3 linked regions of the Struthio camelus genome follow. The protein of the gene in region 3 purifies or fractionates together with the protein of the main gene of each other region. This does not show direct contact. Links are inferred from orthologs where the notes say so. Each region holds a gene or a part of one and is shown on either strand. Other genes may lie near its edges.

Region 1 (7,920 bases), on a different chromosome or scaffold from region 3:
TGACTCATTTCAAAGGGTATTGCAAGCAGCACCTTATAAATTCATATAGAACAGCACATTAGAAATTCTATGGGAGCCAACTCCCACTATATCCGACTTTTTTTTGGCTGTTAATTCTAGCAAACTGGTAGATCTGAAGTGTCACTGCTCCTACCCTCACATCAGCTACTTTGTGCTAAATACTCCTTAGAAGTGTCCAGTGGAGCCTTTGTGTGGTGATGTCAATAGTTTGGCACAACAGCTGAAGGCATTATACAAAGACAAATAGCATAACAGAGCGAAATACAGAAGTTTAACCTTCTGATTCCAGAACAAAGGTATCAAAACCTAGACAAAGTAAACTTTCTCAATAATGAAAATATTCCGAAGCTTATTTCACCTTCGGCATCCTGAAAGAAGATAGTAACTGGTAAGGTCTATAGCCTTAGAAAGAAAAACCCCAAAACTACACAACACCCTTTGTACCATAAAAGTAACAGTTGTACTGCCATAATGAAGAAACATTATCTACTAGTAAATAAACTCAGAAGAGTAAACCAATCTGATCAGCAGAAAACAATTAAAAATTGCCAGCAACTAGCATGTATAAGTTTCACAAATGTGTACAAGAGAAGACTGTGTTACTTGTATTACATACTCCTCAAAGCAGGAGTTAGTCAGGCTGTGCAAGTAAGCAACAGCCACCTGGTTACCAGCAACCCTTCAGTGCAACCAGGTGGCTGTTGCCTGGTGATTCATCCATTTTGGCATGTGACAGCAGAAATGTGCAGCGCACAGCATGTGCTGCAAAATTCAGATTGAAAATGCAGATGAGCCCTGATGTTGATACGAGCCCTGAGCTCTCGTACCAAGGATACATATGTTCGGTCTAACCAATCAGGATTCTCAAAGGGGTTTTTATTATGCGCCCATTTTACTAGGGGAGTTAAATATAACAGTATTTAAAAAAAATAATACTACCACCACACATACACAAGGCACAAAATTGTTTGTAAACACAATAATCCCATCATTTAAAGAAGTGGGGGTGTATGTGTAAAACACTAGTTTATTTACAAAATCCACTCTACATGAAGTTTAAAGAATAATATATGACAAGACAACTTTCTCCTGCCTCCCTCACTCCTGTCACAGAGTACAATAGCTTTATTACAATCGGGTGTAAAGGTTTTGCAGACAGTACTCAACAAGGAAGTCCATAAACATGTAATATAAAACAGTGCCTGAAAAAGATTAAATGGCTTCTGGATAGCAACATTTTGCAAGGGTTGTATGACCTATGATACCAACCCTGTCCTAGGGGTGGAGAGGAACCAAATTTTAACAGTTGCTTTTTGTTATTATCTTGAACAGTCTTTGGAAGGCAAATCACAGAAAAACAGAGAATGAATCTCAATAAGCATCTTTCTTGTTGTGACTACTATACTTACACAGACAAAGAGGACTCTTGCAATGAGTTACATTCTTCTGGTTCTTCCACAGAAAGGCCACTACTGAAAAACTACAACCATACATCTTTAACAGGTGTAAGATTTTGGTAACATAAGCCCTTATAAGTAAAAAGCTGGACAACGATTCACGTTTAAGCACCTGATAAGGCTTACTAAACACGAGGGAGGGGGGTTGGCCAAGCATTTTTTTTTTAATTATGAAAGAACAATCATTTTTAGCTCATATGCTGTCCCCCCCTCTCCCCCAAAATGGGTCAGTTGTGAAATAGCCCGTTATGCTCAAAAATAAATAAATAAATAAATAGACCAAGAGGAGGGCTGCAGCTTGAAATACTTGACTGCTAATATCCTGCATGCCATTCCAGGAAGTCCCACAGTGGTTTTTAAGCCTCTGCCCATCGTTGTAAAGAAAGGCGAATGGCAAGGCTAATCAATATCTTGCAGCCCAGCTGTGACCCGGCAAATAAAGAAGTCAAGAAAATAAATCCCACCGATGATCTCTATAATTTAACATTTGGAGGGCAGCAACACCTGGGACGCGCTCCAAGCGGGACGGAGCGGGGCGCCGCGCCGCCGGCTTCCCCGCTATCTGCTCCGCGGCGCGCGCGCCCCGTTATACACGCGCACACAAAGAAGGTCTCCGCACTCCTCGTGCTTTTCCCATAACATACACAACTCCATGCTCAAACGCAACGTAAACACACGGAAAGCGCCTTGCGACGCCAGGGATCGGCGCCACGGCTCGGGCTGCGCCCGTGTCAAACCACGGCTATTGTCCGGGACAAGCCACCGAGGCTTATCAAGCATTAGGGTTTTTAATAGGTGGTGTCAAAAAAACCACAATGAGCCTCCCTAATCGCTTCATAAGTCAATTCAAACGGGCTCCAGAGCCCCGCCGCAGGGGGGGGGGGGGGGGGAACAGGCACGAAAACGTGACTCCCGCGAACGGCACTTTGTCTGGGCTTCGCGAGCGGAGCGACAAAAGCCCTCCCGCGCCAACAAAGCCCGCGGCACCGGCAGCGGCCGCCTCACTCCCGCCGGGGCTCCCGGGCGCCGCTGTCCCCCGGCGGCCGGTCAGGCAACACCGGCCCCGCCGGGGACTCCTGCCGGGGCCGGGCTGAACTCCGCGCGAGCCGGCGGGCAGGGGCCGCGCGGGGGGCGGCAGCCCGCCGTGCCGGCCGCGGACGGGCTCAGGCAGCGGCCGGCCGCCCCCCGTCACCGGGACGCCGCGGCCGGCCGGCCGCCCGTCCACCCCCCGCCGCACGGAAAGGGCGACGCGGCCGCTCGCACAACGCCGCGAGCCGGCGCGGAGGTCGGCGACGGCAGCTCGCCCCGGCCCCGCGAGGTCGCCCGGGCGCGCCCCTCCCGCCGCCGGGCACCCCGCGGGCTCTCTTTCTCGCACTCACCCACGCCGTACTTCTCGTGCTCCGTGGGTATCCACATGCTCGCGGCGCGGCGGCAACTCCTCGGCTCGGCGCGGAGCGGCAGCGGCCGGCGAGCGCGTCCGCCTGCCCCTGCCAGCTGCTCCCGCCGCCGCCGCGCGTGCCCGCGCCTCAGCGGCGGCTGCCCGGCTCCAGCTCCGGCGGCACAGGCATTGTTCTCCTGCGCGGCCGACAGACTGAGGCGCGCTCGCCGCCCAGCCAGTTATATGGCCCCGTCCCGCGGCGCCGGGGAACGCAGCGCCTCGGCGCGGCCGCGCCTCTGCGCGCCCGCGGCCGGCGGAGACTACGAGTCCCGACTGGCCCCGCGCGCCCCGCGGGGGCGGGGCCGCGCCTCACGCCGGGGCGGGGCCACGGCGGCGGCATGGCGGCGGCGGCGGCGGCGGCGGCGGCGGCGGCGGCGGTCCCGTCGGAGCGGGCCGGTGAGCGCGGGGCGGGGCGGGGCGGGGCGCGGGGGCTCTGCGGCCGTTGCTGGCGCGGCCGTTGTGGGCGCGGGGCGCGCGGGCAGCTGGGGGAGGGGCGATGTGGTGCCGCCGTGGCCGCGCGGCTAGAGCAGCTTGCTGCGGGCCGCGTACGCTCCCGCGGAGCTGCCCGGCGGCCTCCTGCGCGCGTGGGAGCCGGTGACACCGGCGCCTCGCCAGCACCGCTCCGGGGTAGAGGCAGCTGTGACCGAAGTTAGGCTGGTTCAGGCCTGCGATTGTTAATTGGTCGGAGCAGTAATTCACAAATGGGTTTGATTAGAGTCTTTAAATATGAAGAGAGTCACGGGTTTGGGCGAGCCTTCCGATGGCGAAAGTCCTTTTTTGGGGGTCCTGCTGATGCCACTCCTGTACTTCGTAAAATATAGCACCCCTCCCCCCCGGCGCCGAGGATTTAGCACGTGAAACCGAGGGGAGAGGAAGAAGCTTCAGCAGTGAGTTATGCTGGAGCTGTAAGGGGTGCCAGAGAGGTGGGACATCCAGCTGTCCAGCTGGGCGGCCTTCTGACCTCCCAAATAAATCTGTATCTCCCCAGGCACATACACGGAGATAAAGAAAGGGGGATGGCGTACAGGGAGGAGCACAAACGGAACAGCTGGGTGACAGTCTGGGATAAGTCTGGCAGTGTAGGAACACCCACTCCTCTACCCGTGATGAGAAGCCTAGAAAAATACAGCTGTGCCCTTCCAGGAGCAGTTTAGGTAGAACTCACCTCAGGTAAAACGCAAGAAGGTCCTAGACTGAACTGATCTTTGCGTGAGGAACCAGAGTAACTGGGACGCAGAGGCAAGAGCTTGTTCTGGTCCTGTGGGAAGGAACAGATTGAAAACAGGGAAGACCTCCAATGATGCGATGCCACTCTGCAGGCCTCGCCAGGCACAAATCATCTCTACGATGACTAAGTCTGCTTAAAACAAAATGTTTTCCAATCAAATCGTCAGTCTCACCAGAAATTTTATGAGATGGTTCTGTTTGAGCTGAACAAAAAATTTTAGTTTTAATTTTTTCACGTTTAAGGGAGGAAAATGGTTCAAATTTGTTTCCGTTTAGGTTATTTTTTACCCTCTAATGCAAACCCTGGTCGCACTGCTGCCAATTTTTGCTGAATTTTTGGGTCACCTATAGCGTGAAAGGTGCAATAGAATTAAAAGTCAGGTGCAAACAGGCAGCTTCAAACCCATTTGTTAGAATGCGTTTATTCTGTATCTCTCCTTCTAGTTGTCAAACTTAGGTAGTGACTGATCTTTTAAGTGACCTTTGTGTTATTTCTGTAGTCTGTATGCTGTTTCTGTGCATAACATAGTATCATTTTAATTATGCTAGTAATTAAAGCAGCGTTTTTGCTTTATTTGTATGTATTGTATTGCGTTCACATAAACTTTTCCTGTACAGAAAGGTAGACCCTTCTACAGCACTTCCAGGCTAGTATAATTGCATCTACAGGTGGAGCTATGTTACTGTAATCGTTAAAAAAGTTAGACAATTGTGTCTGTATAAGTCTTCTGTGTGACACTGTATATAGGGCTACGGAGAAGAAGAGACAATGAGGTTTTTCCAAAGAGGTCTTGTAAAGACATGGGCACTGGTATGAAAAAAACTTATTCCATTGGAATTTAGAGACCTGAACTACATACTGTTTTCCTATTACTAATTCAAAAACTCACTGAACTTTTAATAGCTTTGCTCGGGATTCCCAGACCCACTTTACATCTTGTGGGAGATCCTTTGGAGTCCCTAGATGACAAAATGTGTTAAAGTCACTACAGAAGGAGGACTCCTCCAATTCAAAAGAATAGGACCAATTACTATTGCCAGGCTAAATAAACTTCTGTCCCAGCCTGTGGACTTCCATGTGCATCCAAACTAGCCTTGCCTCTGTGAGAGGGCTGGCAACATGTTGGCTGGGAGTCATGATGTTCTGCCATTCATAACTGCTGTCCCTCATGTTAACCATGACTGACTTCAGCGTGTTTGTATTAGGCTCAGAGCCTATCTTTCTCCTTCCCTTTGACAAGGACAAAACCAGCAAATAAGAGAAATATCCTTTCTAAAATTATTAATTTAAAATTTAGTCACTTAAGATAACAGATCTTATAGTATAAATCTAAATACCATGCCCTAACGTTTACCATGTCTCCGATTTTGAGAAAATCCCAACTCTTCCAGAAGCTTCATTTCTGCAAAACTGTTCACTCTAGCAACCTCTTGTGCAACTTGTATGTGCCCCTGAGAAGGTGTGTCACTTCTTTGGAGACAGGATATAGGAGAATTAGATATAACACTTTCTCCTGACTTCCTATTTCCTATTTACAGGAAAGACTGCGCTTTTATATTCTAATACAGGACTATGTGGCTTTCTTATTAGTTCTCTCCAGCAGCCCATTATGCAGTCTGCATTAATTATGCTACCTGTCAGCATTTCTTAACAGCATCTGTCAGTGATTTCTAAAATGAGGTTTCTTCCAGAAGTGTGTCTTTCATAGCTACATAGACATAGTCTAAAAGTTATGATTTCCTACTCAGGGTTTCAATGTGTTCAAATGCCTTTTAATGCTGTCTTCTTAGAGCATACCATGTCAAATCATGGCATGTTATTCTTATTCCTTCCACAACTGTCTTGTGTCCCACTTCAAGGGGAATTAGCTTCACTGTGGAAAACTCAAGTTTGACTGGTCTTGCAAAAATCTACGTTTTTCATTAACTGCCTAGAGGATGTTTCAGTGAAAGTTGTTTTGTATCTGATGCTGTCAGCCTCATTTCTTTATTTCAATTCTAAGTTCCCTTTCTTAAGAGTTTTATGAGCACTGCCAAATCCAATAGACTGTGGGACCCAGGGATTTCTCTTTCCCGGTCACTGAAGTCCAATCCAGAGTACTCTCAGACCCAGGAGGTCTCTCTGTCTTAGTTGGTGGATGCAGCTGCTGCTGTTTCTGTTTGCAGTTCAGGCCAATAGCAAGGCTGAGCATGTACTCAGAGGCATGCACACCTGCACAAAACTTAAATGGCTGGCCGCAAAGACTGCCACAGAACAGTACCTTTATCACTCCCTCCTAAACACTGAGCCTGCTCACATAAACAAGAACATTGTCTGCCCCATCTTGTTCCTTCTCTCCAGCTGATCAGGTCTGATGTTCATAGAGAAAACACACCTTTACTCTCTAGATTCTCAAGCACTCCCAAGTTCACAGATCCCTTAAATGTCAGCATGGGCTCTCTTCCTCTGTGTAATATCCATGCCTGGACCTTGGACCTCTTCCCCGCCTCCTGTCTCAGACCTTGATTCTTTCCAAATGTGGATCTCTTCCTACTCACTAGCTAGTTCAGCTTGATGCTAGCTGTGAATTGCACATACAGACACAAGATTAAAACTTGCTACGGAAGTACAAATACACCGTGGTCTCTCCAGTTGCTGCGCTTAAACCTTTCACGTGCACGCCCCATGTACCTACGTCGTGTGTACAGCCACTTCAGTTGTTGGCACCTTGGCGTATAAGCCTTCTGGGCCATGGTCCCTCCACAGCAGCTGGCACCCAGCTGACCTGTCAACACACGCTCCAGTCTCTCCAGTGCTGGCACCCAGATCTATGAGCCCTATGGCCTGCAGTCCCTTCCTCAGTTGCTGGCAGCCAGACCTCTCTTGCGTGCCAGTCCCTCTGATTGCTGGAATTTAGACCTTGCAGCAATCATGCACATGGGATAGAGAGATTACACAAAAATTAGAACAGGATTTCATAAGATAGGACAGACAGCAGTGATCAGGTGCAGGGCTCAGGAGTGTCCTGACTGGCAGCCTGCTTATAGGCTCAGCTGTCCACGCTGTTGCTTTGGTCTGACAATTTCTCTCCTATTGCCATTTCTTCTTTTATTCATCTTACTAACTGTCATACACAAACTGCTTTTGTATCCCTTTTCCACTCCTGCCATTCCATGCTTTTTTTAGAAAAAAAAAAAGTTCTATGCCACCTTTAATTCCTGTGTATCTCTTTAACCGCTCTCACCTTACCACTTTCCAGACCATCTCTGTGCCTGCTTCCAACCCTTCTTGCCTTTCCACATCTGTGATCTCCCATCACAGTCTCTGCATGTGCTTCCACAGGATTAAGCTTCATCAGGCCTGATAGAATTCCAACAGCAGTAAAGAATGTGAGGCAACACTTACCAAGACATGAGTGCTGAATTTTGGAGGGAGGGGAAGAGTTTCATTCAATGGGTAGGCATTATGAGCTCCTTAAAAGATGTTGGTATGACATAGGTTAATCATTATGAACAGCAACAACCAGCAGTTGCACCTGGATTATAGGTTCAGTGTTTAATTCTGTAAGTTCAATACAATTCGTTTTAATACGATTACAGAAATGAATCTCCTAAAACAGTATTGCATGAAAATGTTTGTTATCATTTGTTATGATCTATAAGTACAAATGTAGTCCGATAGTCATTTTAAATGGTTACCTGACAAGCACACAGACCATAGGGAGGACTGGAAATTATTTTAGTTATGATTGGTAAAATGATCTCTTATATTTGAATAGTAAAAAGGTAAAATCCTTT
Region 2 (7,963 bases), on a different chromosome or scaffold from region 3:
GCCAGAGTGAAAAACTGCAAACTCTTGAAGATGTGGATTCCTCAAGTATTTATACAACAACAAAAGGACATTTTCTCTTTTGTTCTTGATTCCTTTTCTACTGATTTCCAGCACTATGTTTGCAGTCACTTTACCTGGCGATTATACTCCATGTGCCAGTTCTTGCATGTGCCGGGTCCTTATCCCAAATTGTACTGTCTTCAATGGTAAAGATATTTCTACATCTGTAAATATAACAGTGTATTGGTTTTGTCAGAAAGCAGGAAAACTGGCAAAATTGTTTCATGTGAAAAATTTAACTTTTGCAGAAATAGCATTTCCCATTGGAAACCCACATTTTTAGACAATTTCCAACCAACTCTAAATACATTGCAAAAGCATATTTTAAACCTTATGAAAGCATATAATTTTTATCCTAAATAATCTTGATTATAAAAATACTTTTCAGACACTCTGTATAGATAAAATTTGTTGGGATTTCACGTCCAGGACATATTCATCATAATTGAATTATAATTACAGTAATATTAATAATTACACACCACTGTTACTAATATACTGTTACTCCAAACAGCTAGCTAAAATATGAGCATTTGTAAGTTATTGTGAAAGGGAGGAGAAATAAGTGATGAGGTCAACTATTACTGTAATGTAATCGTGCCAGTTTAAAAGGAACATACCAAGCCTTGCTCTGCAGAGGAAAGGAGGAATCAAACAAGGTGATGCCCTTACTCAGAGCTGTAAGGCTCTTTCAGCCTCCCCCGCAGCTCAAAAGCTCTCTTTGATTTCTTTAGGGAACAGAGTTTTGGTAGGATCTGTGCTATTTTTTGAGCATGAGTCCAAGCCCATACCAGAGCCCAAACTGATATTGCAGACAGTTCTGCGGTGAGACTATGCCCCACCACAGTCTTCAGGCAAACTCTGAAGCTTGGCAAGCTGGGAAGTTTGGGATCCTGCTACTTCTTCCTACACCCATCCATTGGCTGGGCACAAGAATGCTGTCTGTGCCACGAAACACATTTACTAGTTAATGACACATGCTTACCTTGTAGGGACAGAAGAAGCTATCTCTGAACAAAAAAATGGCTGCCCTCTGTCCTTGCAAGCAGCTGGAGTTGTGTGGGGGAAGGCAAAATGAGATTAATAGCAAAAAAGCTGCAGGTGAGCTACCTGAGTCTCTCCAAGGACCATACTTGTATGGATTGTTAAGATACAACCACCATGTACTTCTACAGATTTTGGTTGCAGCTTCCTGTTCTATCTGCAGGGTGAGTAATTCACCCTGTGTCTTGCTCTCTTTTTCCGCCTCTCTCCTACTTTTACACATATATAGACTCATGCACACATGCTAGATTGGTCAGACGTCTGGGTTTAGCTCAGACAGTTTGAGTTTCAGATCAAAAGTCTGGGTTCAAGCACTGTTTCTGCTGCTGAAAGTTTAGGTTTCTGTGTTCACGCCAGAGAGATGAGACAGCCCAGCGCAACCGGGTAAAACTAGTGCTGTTGGGTTTGTGCTCAGGAATATCTGGCAACTCTAACACGTACACATGCCTATGCAAACAATGCTAAGTAAAGTTCTCCACCCAGGTATTTCAAATTTCTTTGTTTTGTATATGCCTTTGTTTTGGCTGGTGACACAGGCCTGGTTTGGGGGGCTTTTTTTTTTTTTTTTATTTTTTTTGAGATTGTATATTCTTCTTATTAGGTAACTCAAATGAAAGGTCATTGTTACATTTGCACTGTAATAAACTGTTTTAAACTCGCAACAACAGATTATGAACCAGTCCAGATCAATATCGTGTGTATTTTTGATGTAAGGCAACGACGACATAAGAACCAATGCAAGAAACTATGACCTTTCCTCCTCTGCTGATCACAGAACGGTTTAGGTTGGAAGGGACCTCTGGAGATCATCTAGTCCAACCTCCGTGCTCAAGCAGGGACCTCTAGAGCATATTGCCCAGGATCACATCCAGATGGGTTTTGAATATCTCCAGGGAAGGAGACTCCACTACCTCTCTGGGCAACCTGTTCCAATGCTCTGTCACCCTCAAGTCCTCTGTAACTCTTATCATGTGAATGAGTGAGTGGAGTGAGGAAGACCATACCACATTCAAGACTTTTCATCCATGCTTAGTCCCAACGATCATTTTTTTACAGTTTCATGCCTTCTGGCCCGTTGAACAGGTTTGCCAGGCAACTACCGAGCAAATTAAGCAACTTTCCTGAAGCAAAAAGAAATTAAAGTGGTATGAAAAGATCATATGAAGAATCATCACATTATTGTCCCTATTATTACTTACATATTGCTGTTTTTGTTGTATCCTTACTGGTCTTTCCAAGTCATATCTATCCTTCCGGGTGATCACTATTGTGCCCTTTCTATCTATGGCTATGTCCTTTTTTTTTTTTTTCTTTTTTTTTCCTGTTTCCCCTTAATGCTGCTTTAAGGTAGGAGAAAAAGAGGAGAAGAAGAGGAGAAGGAAAAGAGAGATTAAAGAAAAGCAGGCATCTTTGTGGCTCTTCAGGGCTGATTATCTCACAGAGACTGAAGGAAAGGACATGAAAGGGCAACCAGGCTCTCCCAGCTGACGTGATTGTGTTGGATATTCACGCTACTTTTGTGCAGTGGCGTTGAGGCTTCAATGCACAAGGGAGCTCCTCAAGACTCAGTACCTCAGCACAACACTGACTCCCTTTCCCAGTTCCTTGATGTGTCCTTCTGTCCCTCATGCATTAGCCTCCAAGACCACTAACTGCTAAAAAAAAGCCCTTTGCAAGAGGCTGAAGTCTCTAGTAAATCATGCAAGAACACAAACCCTCCCAATTTTCCAGCCTGGCCCTCTGCCACAGATGATTGCTTCTGCAGCAGAAAGAAATGTGTGTCCATGCACCAGCAGCTGCATAGTTCATAGTCCTTTGCCTTGGCTCAAAACTTCCCTTCGCTAGGAATATACGTTAAGTTGATGGACAGTGATTTGGGCTGAGGGTGGAAAACACGCCATTTTGCTGACTCTGTTATCAAGGTGGTAATCCTTAGCAGTCATCAAAGATGGCAATATCTTAGATCTCAATAGGAAGGCCAAGTTTTATGTAGGTTTGTTTCAGTAGCAAAGCCAGCTTAACGGTATCATCTCAGAGGAGGAAAAAAAACCCATACCTTTTCTATTGGGTTGTATTTCAGCTGAATCAGCTCCTTGACCTGGCTCGGTGTATGGTCCCACAAACTGTTTTGCTTGCTCAGCTGTGAGGGCAACATCCTACTGTGGGTGAGAATTAGTAGTAGAGAATGAGTGATTTGGTAGAAATGCCTTTATGGGGTTATGCTGCTCACATAGAGCTTCTTTATTAGCCTGTGTTACAAAATTTTATTGTACTAACTACATCAATAAAGACTGTGCAGCTCTTTACCAATAAAATGATGCTTAAAAACATTACTAAGTATATTTATTATGCTATAAGGCTATATATACACACATAGAATTATTTTGTTTTCCTGAAGCAGAAGCTATAAATGTAATCAGGGAACTAAACCTGTGGACAATATCTTAATGAGTTTAATCATTTTATCTTATCAAAAAAAGAATACAGGTGGATTTGCACGTACAGTGGGTGAAAATTCCTGCTTTTTTTGAACACCTTAACTTTGAAACCTTTGTTGAAAAGCATTAGGTATTTTTAGCTAAGATTGGACTGCTTCACTCTGACATTTACATTTTTCCCTTCTGAGTTTATTAAGCCCGATATAAAAGCAGAACTAACATTGTAGACATGATGTTATTAATCATAATAACACATCACAATAAATTAACTTCTTAATGTAAAAGAAGGGCCAAAATAACACTCCTTCATCTTACTGGCTCTAAACGTCTTGACATTACCAACTTTAAGAAAGCAAAACATATTTTCAAGTAAAAAGGATCGACGCCCCTGAAGACATTTCCCTCGCAACAACATAGCATTTTTTGGAGGAAAGAAAAAAAAAACCCCTCCTCCTGTCAGAGCTTTTTAAACCAGATCTAGACTCCCCGCAATACTCTGAATGCGACGACAAAGGTCCCCACTGAAGAAGGAACGGTCCGGACCCCCAGCGCCTTAGAAACACCCACGGGGCAGCGCTGCCGCCAGCCGCCTCTCGTCGGATGAGCGCAAACACAGAAAAGGGGGAAAACAGCCGCCGGCGCGGGGCCGCGGCCCGCTGCCCCCGCCATCTTCCCGCCGCCCCGGTTTACCACAGCGGCGCGGCCCGCTCGGCCTCCGGGGCGGGCGGCGGCAGCAGCCCTGCACCCCGCCTCGGCCTCCTTCCGCGGCTTGAGCCTTGCCTCCCCCCACCCGCGGAGGGGCCACTTCCCGCCGGGCTTTTCAGCGGGGACCCTCAGCGAGACGGTAACACGGACAAACCCGCGCCGCAGCCCCGCCTCCGCCGCTGGGCTGCCCCGGCGGGCGCCGCCGCCCCGGCGCGACTACAGGTCCCGGCATGCCGCGCGCGGCGCCGGCCGCAGCCCCACAGCCTGGGAGCTGTAGGCGCCCGGCAGCCCCGCTATTGTACTCGGGCCAAGAGAAGCCGCGCTCAGGCCTCCCCTCCCCCGCTTTCCCAGTGGTGCTCCCCCTCGGGGCTGGGCTGAGGCGGTGATTAGCGTGCGCCGCCACCAATGAGACGGGGGCTGAGGCGTGAGGGGCCAATGGGCGGGGAGCAGGGGCGGGCCGACCCCCTCCCTCTCCGGCTGGGCGGGAGTAGGAAACGCCAGCGGGGCTGGTGGCGCGCCTGCGCGGGGGGAGGGAGAAGAGGAGGTGGGGATTTCGTCGTGTGGTTGTGTCGGTGGCGGCTCCCGGGGCGGGCCGGGCCGGGCCGGGCCGGGCGGAGGGAGGGAGGGAGGGGAGAAGAAGAGGAGGAGGAGAGAATGGAGCAGGCGGCCGCGCGGCCGTGAGCGGGGTGGGGAGCCGTGCGCGCGGCCGCGGGGCAGGCAGGCCGGGGCGGCGGCGGCGTCGGTGACGGGCTCGCGCGGCGGCGGCTTGAGGCGCGGAGCGGAGCGGGCGGGGCGGGAGCTGCCGCTCGGCCGGGCGGCAGGATGAGCCAGGAGGAGATCCTGAGGAAATTCATCCGGCGCGTCCAGGCCATGAAGGACACGGACCACAATGGGGAGGACAACTTCGCCAGCGACTTCATGGTGAGGGGCGGCGGCGGCGGCGGGGCGCGGGCCGGGCTCTCGCCTCCCCTCAGGGCTGGGGAGGGTCCCGCCGGCCGGGCCGGGGGGTGGGAGGGCGAGGTGCCGACCCCCCTGGGCTGCCGCTGCCCGGTTCCTGCCGCTGCCCTCGGCCTCGCCTGCCCGATCCCGCTGCTCGTCAGGGTGGGAGGGGGGAGGAAGCGGAGGGAGAAGCATCGCTTCCCTCCCTGCCCGTGACCCACTATTGTGTCGCCGCGGGGCGCGGACGGCTGCCGCCGGCTCTCCGTGAGCCCCCCCGGCGGGGGGGGGGGAAGGGGGGCGGCCGCCGCCTTCGCCGCGGGGCGCCGCGCCGCCGCAGCCCCCTGCGCCAGCCCCGCTCCCCGGCGGGGGGCTCCTCGGAGAGCTTTCGCCCTCATCGCGGTAACCGGCCGTTGCCAAACTAACCGGCGGCTCCTCTCCTCCCCCCCCCCCCGCTTCCCTTCCTGCGGAGATAAAGGGGACGGGGCGGGCTGTGAGCTCCTGCCCTGCCTGGCAGCCCCTGCCCTCGCGGCTTGCCTGGTACCGTGTCAGCTGGGGCTAAGCGGGCGTTTCTTTCCCCCCTTTATTCGTCTCTGCAGCTGCCTGCTTGACGCTCTTATCCTTTCCGCGGAGAGATGTTAAGTGTATTAAATATTCCTCGGAGGAATACGCATCTTCCCGTTGGTCCCCATCCCCCCATCGCAGCCCCGGCTGTATCCCTCGTCCTTTCTTCCCTCCAGAGCAGTTCACCGTCGGCCTTTGGTTAACGTGTGCGCTTGGGCGGGGAGGGGGAGGAATTTAAATGGAGAATTAGGTCTTTTTCCTGGTTTTATTTTAGCTGCTTAGTCGGGCTGCTAAAATGTCTGAGGTGGTTTATCTTTTGAATAGAAGATATAAGCCGGGGACAATAACTCTGATTGGGCAGATGCCGCTGACACTTTTCAGTATTGTTTAAACACTTGATATGAAAATACAATTTGACCCGCAGAAGAGCTAAAGGATGGCAGGCTCTGCGTATCTTGGTAGCTCTCGTGGTTATCTGGCGATGTTTGGGATAAAAGCACGCCGTTAGCCTTTTGAGCTCTCAGCCTTTGATAATGGTCTGGGAACAAAAAAAAAAAAAAATCTGGATGTGAAGTGCCGCATCAGGGATTGTCTGAGCTGCGGGGAGGAGGCTGCGGATGTTGCGCAAGGCTGCGGGGCGCTGGGAGCGCTGGCAGGTCGGCGGCGGGGGAGGAAGTGGACTTGGGAAGCGGCGAGGCCGGCCGGGGCGGGGAGCGGCGGGGCCCGTGGGAAACCCGCGCCCGCCTCGGCAGCGATCTGCCAACACCGGAATATTCAAGCATGTGGGAAAGGAAGAGAGAGGCGATGGGAAGTTAAGAGCCCCATTCGAGTAACAGTGTAATTCTAAGGTCGTTTCACGTAATGCAACGTCCTCACGTGGTCATTCAAGAGTTAAATATGCTGACAGGACCTTTTCGTTAAACGATTGTCTTAGAAATATGACTGCTGTTAAATATAGATCGATCCATTGTACTGGTGAGTCTGCCTTGTTCTCTTAAGCTAAACATTTTATAGAAAGGGTATCCTGGACTGGTGGAAAATGTGGGATTTTTAAAATAGCCTTTCTGTTAAATACTTTAAATACTAGATTTTGTAATCAACTTTTGCTGTTTCATATCTGATCAATAGCCTAATGCTTTACCTCTGTTATAGTCAAATTGCATACATGTGATTTTTTAGCCTTTCTTATAAGTCATGACACTTCTGTATGGAAACTTTTTTTTGTATTTTTGCATTTCTGTATTTGACAGCATGTTTATACAGCTTTCAACTGTTTGGTCAGTAAGCTTTGCCGTTGCTTTCGTAGAGCATCAAGGAAAGAAAGTGCTTTTAAAAAAAAGTGGAAAATGTGGTTGTAGAAACTAATCGGCAAGGCATCTCAGGAGAAATATGTATTACCTGAAACAACAGTAAATCCTTTGAAAGTGATTGCATTTTTTTTGTCCTTTTAACACTTTCTATTTCAAACTCATTATGCTTTATTTCTGCATAATAAATTAAAGGGAATAACTTAAAGGGAAGCGGGGAAACTAGAGTGCTGGTCTTTGACATGATATTCTCATTACTTTCAATATTCATCTGCATATAAATAAAGCAGGATGGCCAGATTAGGGTGATCACAAGAATTGTAATTGCTGAAATTTTTTCACTAAGAACAAATGTATTTTTGCCATGCTTCTTTCACAAAGCCATGCTTAGATGCTATTTAAAACGATTGAAGTGAGGAAAGAAAAGAGAAATGAAGAGGGTAAAAACCTTCCATGTGGTTTTCTTTAATAGTTAATAGCGATTTTTCTGGGAGGAAGGGAAGAGGGAGGCAGTATTTCTCATTTAAGTGCAGGATGTACTGTTGCTGCTAAGCAATGGCAAGTTAGTGGAAAAGGAATTGCTGTTACTCATCGCTTCATTTCCAAGTCGAGATGGAGTCTAAAAATAGACATGGAATAGTGAGTGAATGCAACTGAAAACAATTTTTTATTTTCACATCTTTATTGCTTCAGTAATTGGCTTACAGAATTATTTTTAAATCTGAGTGAGTGAACTGAGTACTTCATAGGTATCAGGGACTTCTGGAAGAGGTGGTAAAGAAGCTGGAATCATGCAGTTATAGACTGCAGTTGACTGAAGTCTTCTGATTAGTCTGACTGAATGTTACTAAAAGCCCATGGCATAGATAAGTTTGACCGCTATTTAATAATGCCATTGATGTACCTAAA
Region 3 (7,196 bases):
GCTGGGCAGGAGGCTTCATTGCAATGCAGTGAGTGACATTCTGTTTTAGACACCAAGCTGAAATGTGATCTTGAACGTGAAACACACCACTCCTTAAAGTTCAAGGCATATCATTTGCATGTTTAGGAACACCACCCTGAAGTCCTTCAGTGCTATGAAGCAGTGTATACAACAAGGGTGTTAGACATACAAAAGACTGGTTGCAGAGAGGGAATATTCCCTGCCAAGAGAAATTCAAAAGCTGTTATAATGAACAAGGTAATAACAGCTTGTAAAAGTAACGAGTGGTACATCCAGCACTGCCTCATCATCATACATGCTTAGGGCTTCTCCAAAGTCTGAACCAACTGATCTGAAACCCATAAGCAGCTCAGTTTCTCTCATCTTCCCTATTTAAGGTGTGAACAATAGTTAGATTATAGACATTTCAAACAGAGAAAGCAAAGAAGCCACGTCTTTCCTGTGCCAATCTGGATATACAAAACAAGCAAAAAGTTTCATTTTTCAGAGTAGAATTACACTTTTAAAAGGATTTTTATTAAGAGCCAAAAATTCAAAACAAAGCTAGTCCTAGGTATGTTAGGATATCCTATTATTAGCACAACTGTAGCCAAAGGCAAAGACTGGCTACAATGAGAAACAATCTTTCCTAAATTTCTGCACTAGGTTTCTTACTGGAGCCATCTAAAATGTAATGTACCTACTTTCCCCCCATCCCCCAAATACAGGCTCTATCAGAGTAAAAAGCCTGCAAGAATATTTGCAAGAACTATGCCATGCCAATTAAAATCACCTATCTGCACTACAGACACCTTGTGCACAATCAGAAAACACAGCCTCACAGAACGAGGAGCTGAAGCAATTCATGAATTCTGTAGGCAACGGGCAATGCACAGATCTGCAGAGACCTGCAGAATCCTGCATTCATCTGCTCCACCCACTACAAGGCCCTTGGGTGCTCCCCTCCCCTCTATTTCAGGGATCCCTCTAATTCCCACTCTCGCACATGCATCTCCCCATCACCCCTACCCAACAGCAAGGCTATTTTAACTCCCTTCTGTCTGCCTGGGCAGTAAGTCACTCACGCTGTCAACACATTAAACTCTGCCAGACAGCAGGGCAGAAATTAAGTGGGATTGCTTTGGGGGAACATGCTAGTGGGCCTGCTGTGTTAAGCCACAGACAGAGATGCTTGAAGCTGTGGCTGTTCTAACCAGACACCATAGGCTCTGACTGCACCCAGTTTTCCTCAGTCTTCCCTCCATTCTCCTCAGGATGCTGTACATTGATGCCTAGAAGCCAATGAAATTTAGAACTGGCTGATATGGCGTTCAAATTTCAGCATATTCAGGCGATTAGAACCAGCATTCAGTAATCCAGATCTTTCCAAATTAAAAAAAATATTCCTATCACCCTTAACTCACTTCTGCTCAGGAGTGCTCTGAGGGAAGAGCACTTCTCGTAGCCTGATGTGATTATCAAGTGTTTGAAGCATCCTTCTGAATATCAGAAGCAGAGCTTTGCAAGGGTCTATTCAAACATTCATATACCTAATCATCTTTAGAATAACACTGTCGTATGGAAACTACAGATAATAAATAAATGCTATGCTTTCAGATCTTTCATCCAAGGATTTCAAAGCACCACAACCCACTAAACCTCACAACATCAATATGAGATATCAGTGCTGAAATTCAGCAGGAAACTATATAGCATGGTACCTAATGTACAAAATTTATAACATGATTAGTAAAAAAGAAAGATTAGATAATTAAACAACCAATAGACACTTGGAAAGAAAACTGTGTTTCAGAAGCAGCACACACTCCAAGTCTTTGGGAAGAAAAAAAAATCAACTTAATGATAGTGTTTTCCATGAAGTGGTGCATCGCTGATACTTTCATGTTATTTACTGAAAATTCCCAACATGGATGAATCTATAAAAAATGATGGGGAGTCTGAACATCTCTTGCTGCCAAAAGTGAATTCCTCAAGAACAGAAGTCTGATCTGTCACCCAAAATAGAAACACAGGGGAGCAGATAATAACAGAAAAAGCAGCTGCCTTGCAAAGAACGGCTTAGATTAGAGCTGACTGTTTTGATATCAGCAGAACCATACGGTCCTGCTACTCACGAATAGCTGATGTCTGCCTGATAATTTGCAGCATAGGCACATTTGCAGACAGATGGGCTTCCAAAGGTGCATAAAGTGACACTGTCAATTGACTTGAGACCCACTGAGAGTACAAAGTAATTACAGCAAGAGAAATGGCACTTACACTTTTGTCTTCAGCATCTGCCTGTGAAGAACCTAACTTGTCAAATTTGGGGCAAGCTATACTTTCTCTGCCTCGATATTCTTGTGTTACAGGAGGAATATACATATCTGCTTCACAGAGACACTGTGAAGCAAATTCATTAGTATCTGTAAAATAAGTGAGACCCTCCGAATTAGGGTTGTGTATGTGCTAAGTATTATCAACTCACTGGTGGTCAAATGCCTCAGTTGTTCGTGGCTGTGAAGACTCCATAGTGTATTTCAGAGAGACTTCATTTCTCTTGCTAAAATGACAGGAATTAAGAGAGTGCTATCTTGAATCAGTAACAGAATTAAACTTCGGATGAATATAAAATTTGGCTTCCAATTGACAATTATGCCTTTCTAGGGTAATATTAGCTTTTATTCAAATCCTATATGCAGAGAGTTTTCCAGGAAAATTAAGCTCTGACTTCTTCCTTCTTTCTTCAGCGAAGGACTCACACATCAGACTGTTGTTCCAAAAGACAGTGGGGACTTAAAACAGAAACTGGGCAACAAGGAGGGAGGAAGGGGAGTAAGAAATAGCTTTGGTGCACCCATTTCTATCTCAGGTATGCAGCCCTCAGTAACAACATAGGTTTACTTGCAAGATTATGATTGGTAAAACAGGATGCAACACAATTAAAAGAACAGATGTAACACAATTAAAAGAACATATTTATTTTTGTTTTAATTTTGTTCTGGTGAATTAAGAAGTAACTTTACAGATATGATCAAAACAATGATCAGTCTACTTTAATCTATCTTACTGTCTCCACAGAGGCCAATACTGTTTCATATTACGGTATAATAAATCTGAAAGTTATTTGCTGTGCTCATTTTCATTTCTTGGAAGAAAAAAAAAAAAAAAAGAGAGCTTGTGGATTAAAGATAGCTTTTATCTTTTCTGCTTCAGGTACTTGTTTCCTTCTCACAGCCTCTGAGCCCGCCACAGCCACATGTATTCAGCCTGGTTTGAAGGGAAAAATGCAACAAAAGGCCCAAATCTGAATGTCATCAGGGCCCCTCCAGCTTCTGCAGCGGTGGTGAGACATCATCTGCTTTGTGGGATGATGCCTTAAATGAGAACTAAAACATTTTACAGCAGATGTTTGGAAGAATTCACTGCAGAAGTGACAGATGTCATTCATCGTCATGACTTAGTAACTATGGTAACCAGGATTGTATAACTATGTCTATTAACAAAAGTACCGATACACCAGAAAAACTCAAAAAGGTAACAGCCCAAAATAAAATTGTTAAAAGCCCAAATTGCATGTATAGGATCTCCTGGAAAATCAGGAAATTTTTGCTGACCTACAGAGGCCCACAGATAAAAGTGCAGCTTTTTCCTCCTAATTCCAGCTTATAAGTAAGGCTGTTATAAGCATAATTGTTTACAGTAGAGGTAGGCAGAAACACTCTTATAGCAGTGTTTGCCACCTGGAGATATTTAACAAATGCAGTGCTGATGGGCTGGTGCTCTCTAGGAGTTCCCCAGAAGAGGCACGGCACCTGAAGGCCATTAGTAAGATCAAGCTCCTACATACATTCAAAACAAAGCGCAACTGTTATGTAGGAAAGGCATTGACTAGTTCAGTAGATCGTGTATTTTGCCATTCTCACAACAAGTTTCGTTAAAGCTTTGTGATCAACAACTTCTGTACCCTATTTACTGTACACATGGTCCCATATATAATCACAGATAAATCCAACCAACCCAGAGCAAACTCTGCTCCTTGCAGGCCAGGTGGCAGGACTTTCCCTCTGGCCAACCCTACAAAAGGACCTGTCTTTTGGCCAGACCTTCTTGGCCCCAGCCCTGCTCCTGGCCAATCCCCTCCAAGTCACAGGGGTATATAAGCCCTCACAACCCACCCCCTGCTTCTGGGATGTCCTTTTGTTTACAGCAACTCGTTCTCAGGAGTGCTTGCTCTGGCTTCTCATGGTCAGAGTCTGGATAGGAATGTAACAGAGGTAAGGCTGTCCTCAAAGTTATAGAGACTTGATGTGTTTGAGATGTAACATATTGGAGGAAAAAGGGTTGTTTCCTTGGTTCTACTTGTAGTATTAATATATATATTTTTGTGACCTAGGCTAAAAGTACAAATATCTTAACCTTCTCATTAATTAAAAATGTTGATAATGTGTTTGTTAAAAAGCCACAGTTAAGAAACATGTATATGCAAAGGTTTTTGATGTGCTCAGGTAAAAGAGAACAAAGAAATATAAGCTACTACTGCACAGAGCACAGGATATCTTATATAAAACCAGTATAGCCTAAGTACTTATACGCTTCTATTAAGCAGATCTCTTTTGAAAGAAAAACAACTATGCTTGCCAGGTTATTCAAGCTTTGCTATGATACTTGAGCAAGCCCTTTAGTTTAACAGAGTGCAGTGGGCATCAAAGTGTAACACTTTGTTTACATAAAGAATTAAATTTTGGAAAAACCTAAAGTATTTCATAAATGTTATGCACTACACAATTGTATTTCACTGTGTATGAGCTGTATGTTCAAATATGAACTTATTCTACTACAGCAGTTGTAGTATAATAGCTTTTTTTGAAAAGCATGCTATAAAACTTTCCCTCAAAAAAAAAAGAAAATAGTATGTATTACTTGGCAGCTGCCTCAGGAAGATGGGTGAATGCATTAGGCTGGTATCTGCAGCTGTCTTGGTAACTGATAAGACTAATTTGGAAGAAACTTTTTTACAGTATGAGTGTCTTTTTGTGTGGATTGAGACTTAAATGCATAACCAGAACACCCTCTACACCTGTGGGCAGGTTCTCCCTCCTTTTTTGTCTACCTTTTGGGTAGACAGGATTGTCTAAGATAAATTCCTTGTACGGTATGTAATGGGACTTTTAACTGGGGTTTTTTTTAGGCCTTTCCTTATCAATAAATGGCTTGTATTAACCTGAAAGGAGGAAGCTTCTGAACAACTGACAAACAGTAATAACATAATCCAGGAACTACAGAGATCCCAACTTTTGGAGAGGAAAACAAGCGGAAGTCTGAGGCAAAGCAGAATGCCATAGACGCCTGCTGATCAAAAGCCTGCAAGGAGGTAGGAGCAAGAGTGAAGCAAAATGAAACAACCGGCTGTATTAACAGATGGCGGCATTATCCCAGGCTGCCATCTAAGCTTGTAAATGATCTAGGTAAGCAGGTTAAGGGCACTTTATTCAGAATTTTGAATTTTCCCTGAAACCTTCATGTACAGTATGAAGCGTGCCATGACAGCAATGAGCCAGTGAAAGCTAGTTCAGTGTGTTATGCAAACTCCTGTTAGGTCTACTTCAGTTTCCCTTGCTTGCTTTGGGTTTTTTGTGTGTGGCAGTGGGGGCACTTCTCTCACGGGGGGGTGACTTCCCATCCAACTTCCTCCTGGGAGGAGATACTGTGGTGTGCAGGAGCCTGGCTCGAATAAGCAGACTGGCCGGGGCCCCGGTAGCCCCCACAGCTGCCGAAACGCCCTGGCTGCGCGTCCCCCTGGCTAGGGGCAGCCGCACCCACGCGTGCCCCGGGTTGAGGGGAGCGTGGCGGCCTCCGCCCCCGCCGAGGGGCGGCAGGAGAGCCCGAGCCGGGTGCGCGGCGTCTCCCCGCCCCGAGCCGGGGGCGGCCGGAGGCGACGGCGCCGCGGGAGCCCGGGGGCGGCCTGGCCCGGCCCTGCCTCCGGCCTCCCCCGCCGTGGCGACCCGGGTGGGGGCGACACGCCAGGCCCCGCTGCGCGGCGGGTCGGTGCCCGGCCTCGCCCCGCCGCGCCGCGCCGCCCGGCCTGTACTCACCCGCCGCGCCGGGCCGTCTCGGCGGGGCAGCCGCTCGCCCGCCGGGCCTCCCCCCGCGCCGCCGGGGCCGCCATCTGGGTCACTGGCACCCTCCCCCCACCCCGCCAGGGCGCGAGGGACCCGAGGCGGCGCTTCGGGCCCCCCTCAACAAGCCGGCGCCTGGTTGGTGAGACCCCGCGCGGCCGCCCGTACGCGGTGCGGTGATTGGTTAGGCCGGGGTGGCGCGCGAAGCCGAGCATCCGCCCCGGCGGCAGGACGGGGCTGGCTCTGAGGAGGACCTGAGAGGGCGGCCCGCCCTGAGGGCCGGCCGCCCGGCCCCTGCGGCGGCCAGGAGGAACACTGCCGCCACGGCGGCGACTCTGTCCCTCCGTCTCTGCCCGGCTGCTGCGGAGGGGGAGCAGTGCTGGGGGGATGCAGTCCTCCAGGGATGGAGGATCTGTTTTTTTTTTTTTTTTTGGGGGGGGGGGGGGGATGCTGAGCGCCGCCTGGGGCCCCGGTGCTGTGACAGAGGCAGATCATGGCTGGGTGGTGCTGTGGGGGGTGAGGGAGGGGGGCTCCCTGACAGGGCCGTTGCAGGCTTCCCCCTCTGAAAAGCTACTTTTGTCGTAGAGCGGCGGGAGGCTCCTTTGGGAGGCCTCTAAGGAGTCGTGAGGTGAAGGCCCGAGCTGGATGCCAAAGGCACAGGAAGCCAGGCCACACAGTAGGAGCGAACATACTCAGCCAATGATTTGGAGAGACATCTACACTGCTGCAGAGTCTGGGGAGGAAATCGGAGGGGTGTGGTAGAGAGGGCTTGCTTTGCCTCTTTGTACGGAGGTTTGAGGTTTTTTGTGTGTGAATTACAGTAGACAGGCTGACTGGAGAGATGTGTCCCCCTCAGGCTTGATTCTCTTACTGTCCCCGTAGCTCTCTGCAGAGGCTGTGATGCCACAGGTTCCACATGAGGTTTTTCTCTGCAAAACTGATGTTTGTTAGTGTTAAGCTACTGATGACAACCTGACACGGTTATCTTTAATTTTACAGCAATAAAATACAGAACACAAGGAATTCAAATCTTGCATGGTTTTCCTTGTGGATGAGGTTTTGGACAAGAATGTAGCA

The links.
Region 1: the proteins of GRB2 (region 3) and DOCK4 purify together in Homo sapiens (co-immunoprecipitation; 4 studies listed by BioGRID and IntAct, counting the BioPlex papers as one, with this or other methods). This does not show direct contact. The link is inferred for Struthio camelus from reciprocal best matches to the Homo sapiens genes GRB2 and DOCK4.
Region 2: the proteins of GRB2 (region 3) and PTPN12 purify together in Homo sapiens (affinity purification with mass spectrometry; 3 studies listed by BioGRID and IntAct, with this or other methods). This does not show direct contact. The link is inferred for Struthio camelus from reciprocal best matches to the Homo sapiens genes GRB2 and PTPN12.

Annotation. Positions count from the first base shown.
Region 1 is NC_090942.1:31,277,317-31,285,236, reverse strand, and holds the start of DOCK4 (dedicator of cytokinesis protein 4), read right to left. Parts: upstream 3,007-7,920; 5' UTR 2,895-3,006; coding exon 2,858-2,894; intron 1-2,857. Other genes in the region: ZNF277 (zinc finger protein 277), read left to right, coding at 3,255-3,312. UniProt on the Homo sapiens protein: Functions as a guanine nucleotide exchange factor (GEF) that promotes the exchange of GDP to GTP, converting inactive GDP-bound small GTPases into their active GTP-bound form. Involved in regulation of adherens junction between cells.
Region 2 is NC_090942.1:13,931,958-13,939,920, reverse strand, and holds the start of PTPN12 (tyrosine-protein phosphatase non-receptor type 12), read left to right. Parts: upstream 1-4,957; 5' UTR 4,958-5,069; coding exon 5,070-5,168; intron 5,169-6,420; exon of another isoform or gene 6,421-6,722; intron 6,723-7,963. UniProt on the Homo sapiens protein: Dephosphorylates a range of proteins, and thereby regulates cellular signaling cascades. Dephosphorylates cellular tyrosine kinases, such as ERBB2 and PTK2B/PYK2, and thereby regulates signaling via ERBB2 and PTK2B/PYK2.
Region 3 is NC_090960.1:8,334,829-8,342,024, reverse strand, and holds the start of GRB2 (growth factor receptor-bound protein 2), read left to right. Parts: upstream 1-4,192; 5' UTR 4,193-4,277; intron 4,278-5,191; 5' UTR 5,192-5,374; intron 5,375-6,095; exon of another isoform or gene 6,096-6,231; intron 6,232-7,196. UniProt on the Homo sapiens protein: Non-enzymatic adapter protein that plays a pivotal role in precisely regulated signaling cascades from cell surface receptors to cellular responses, including signaling transduction and gene expression.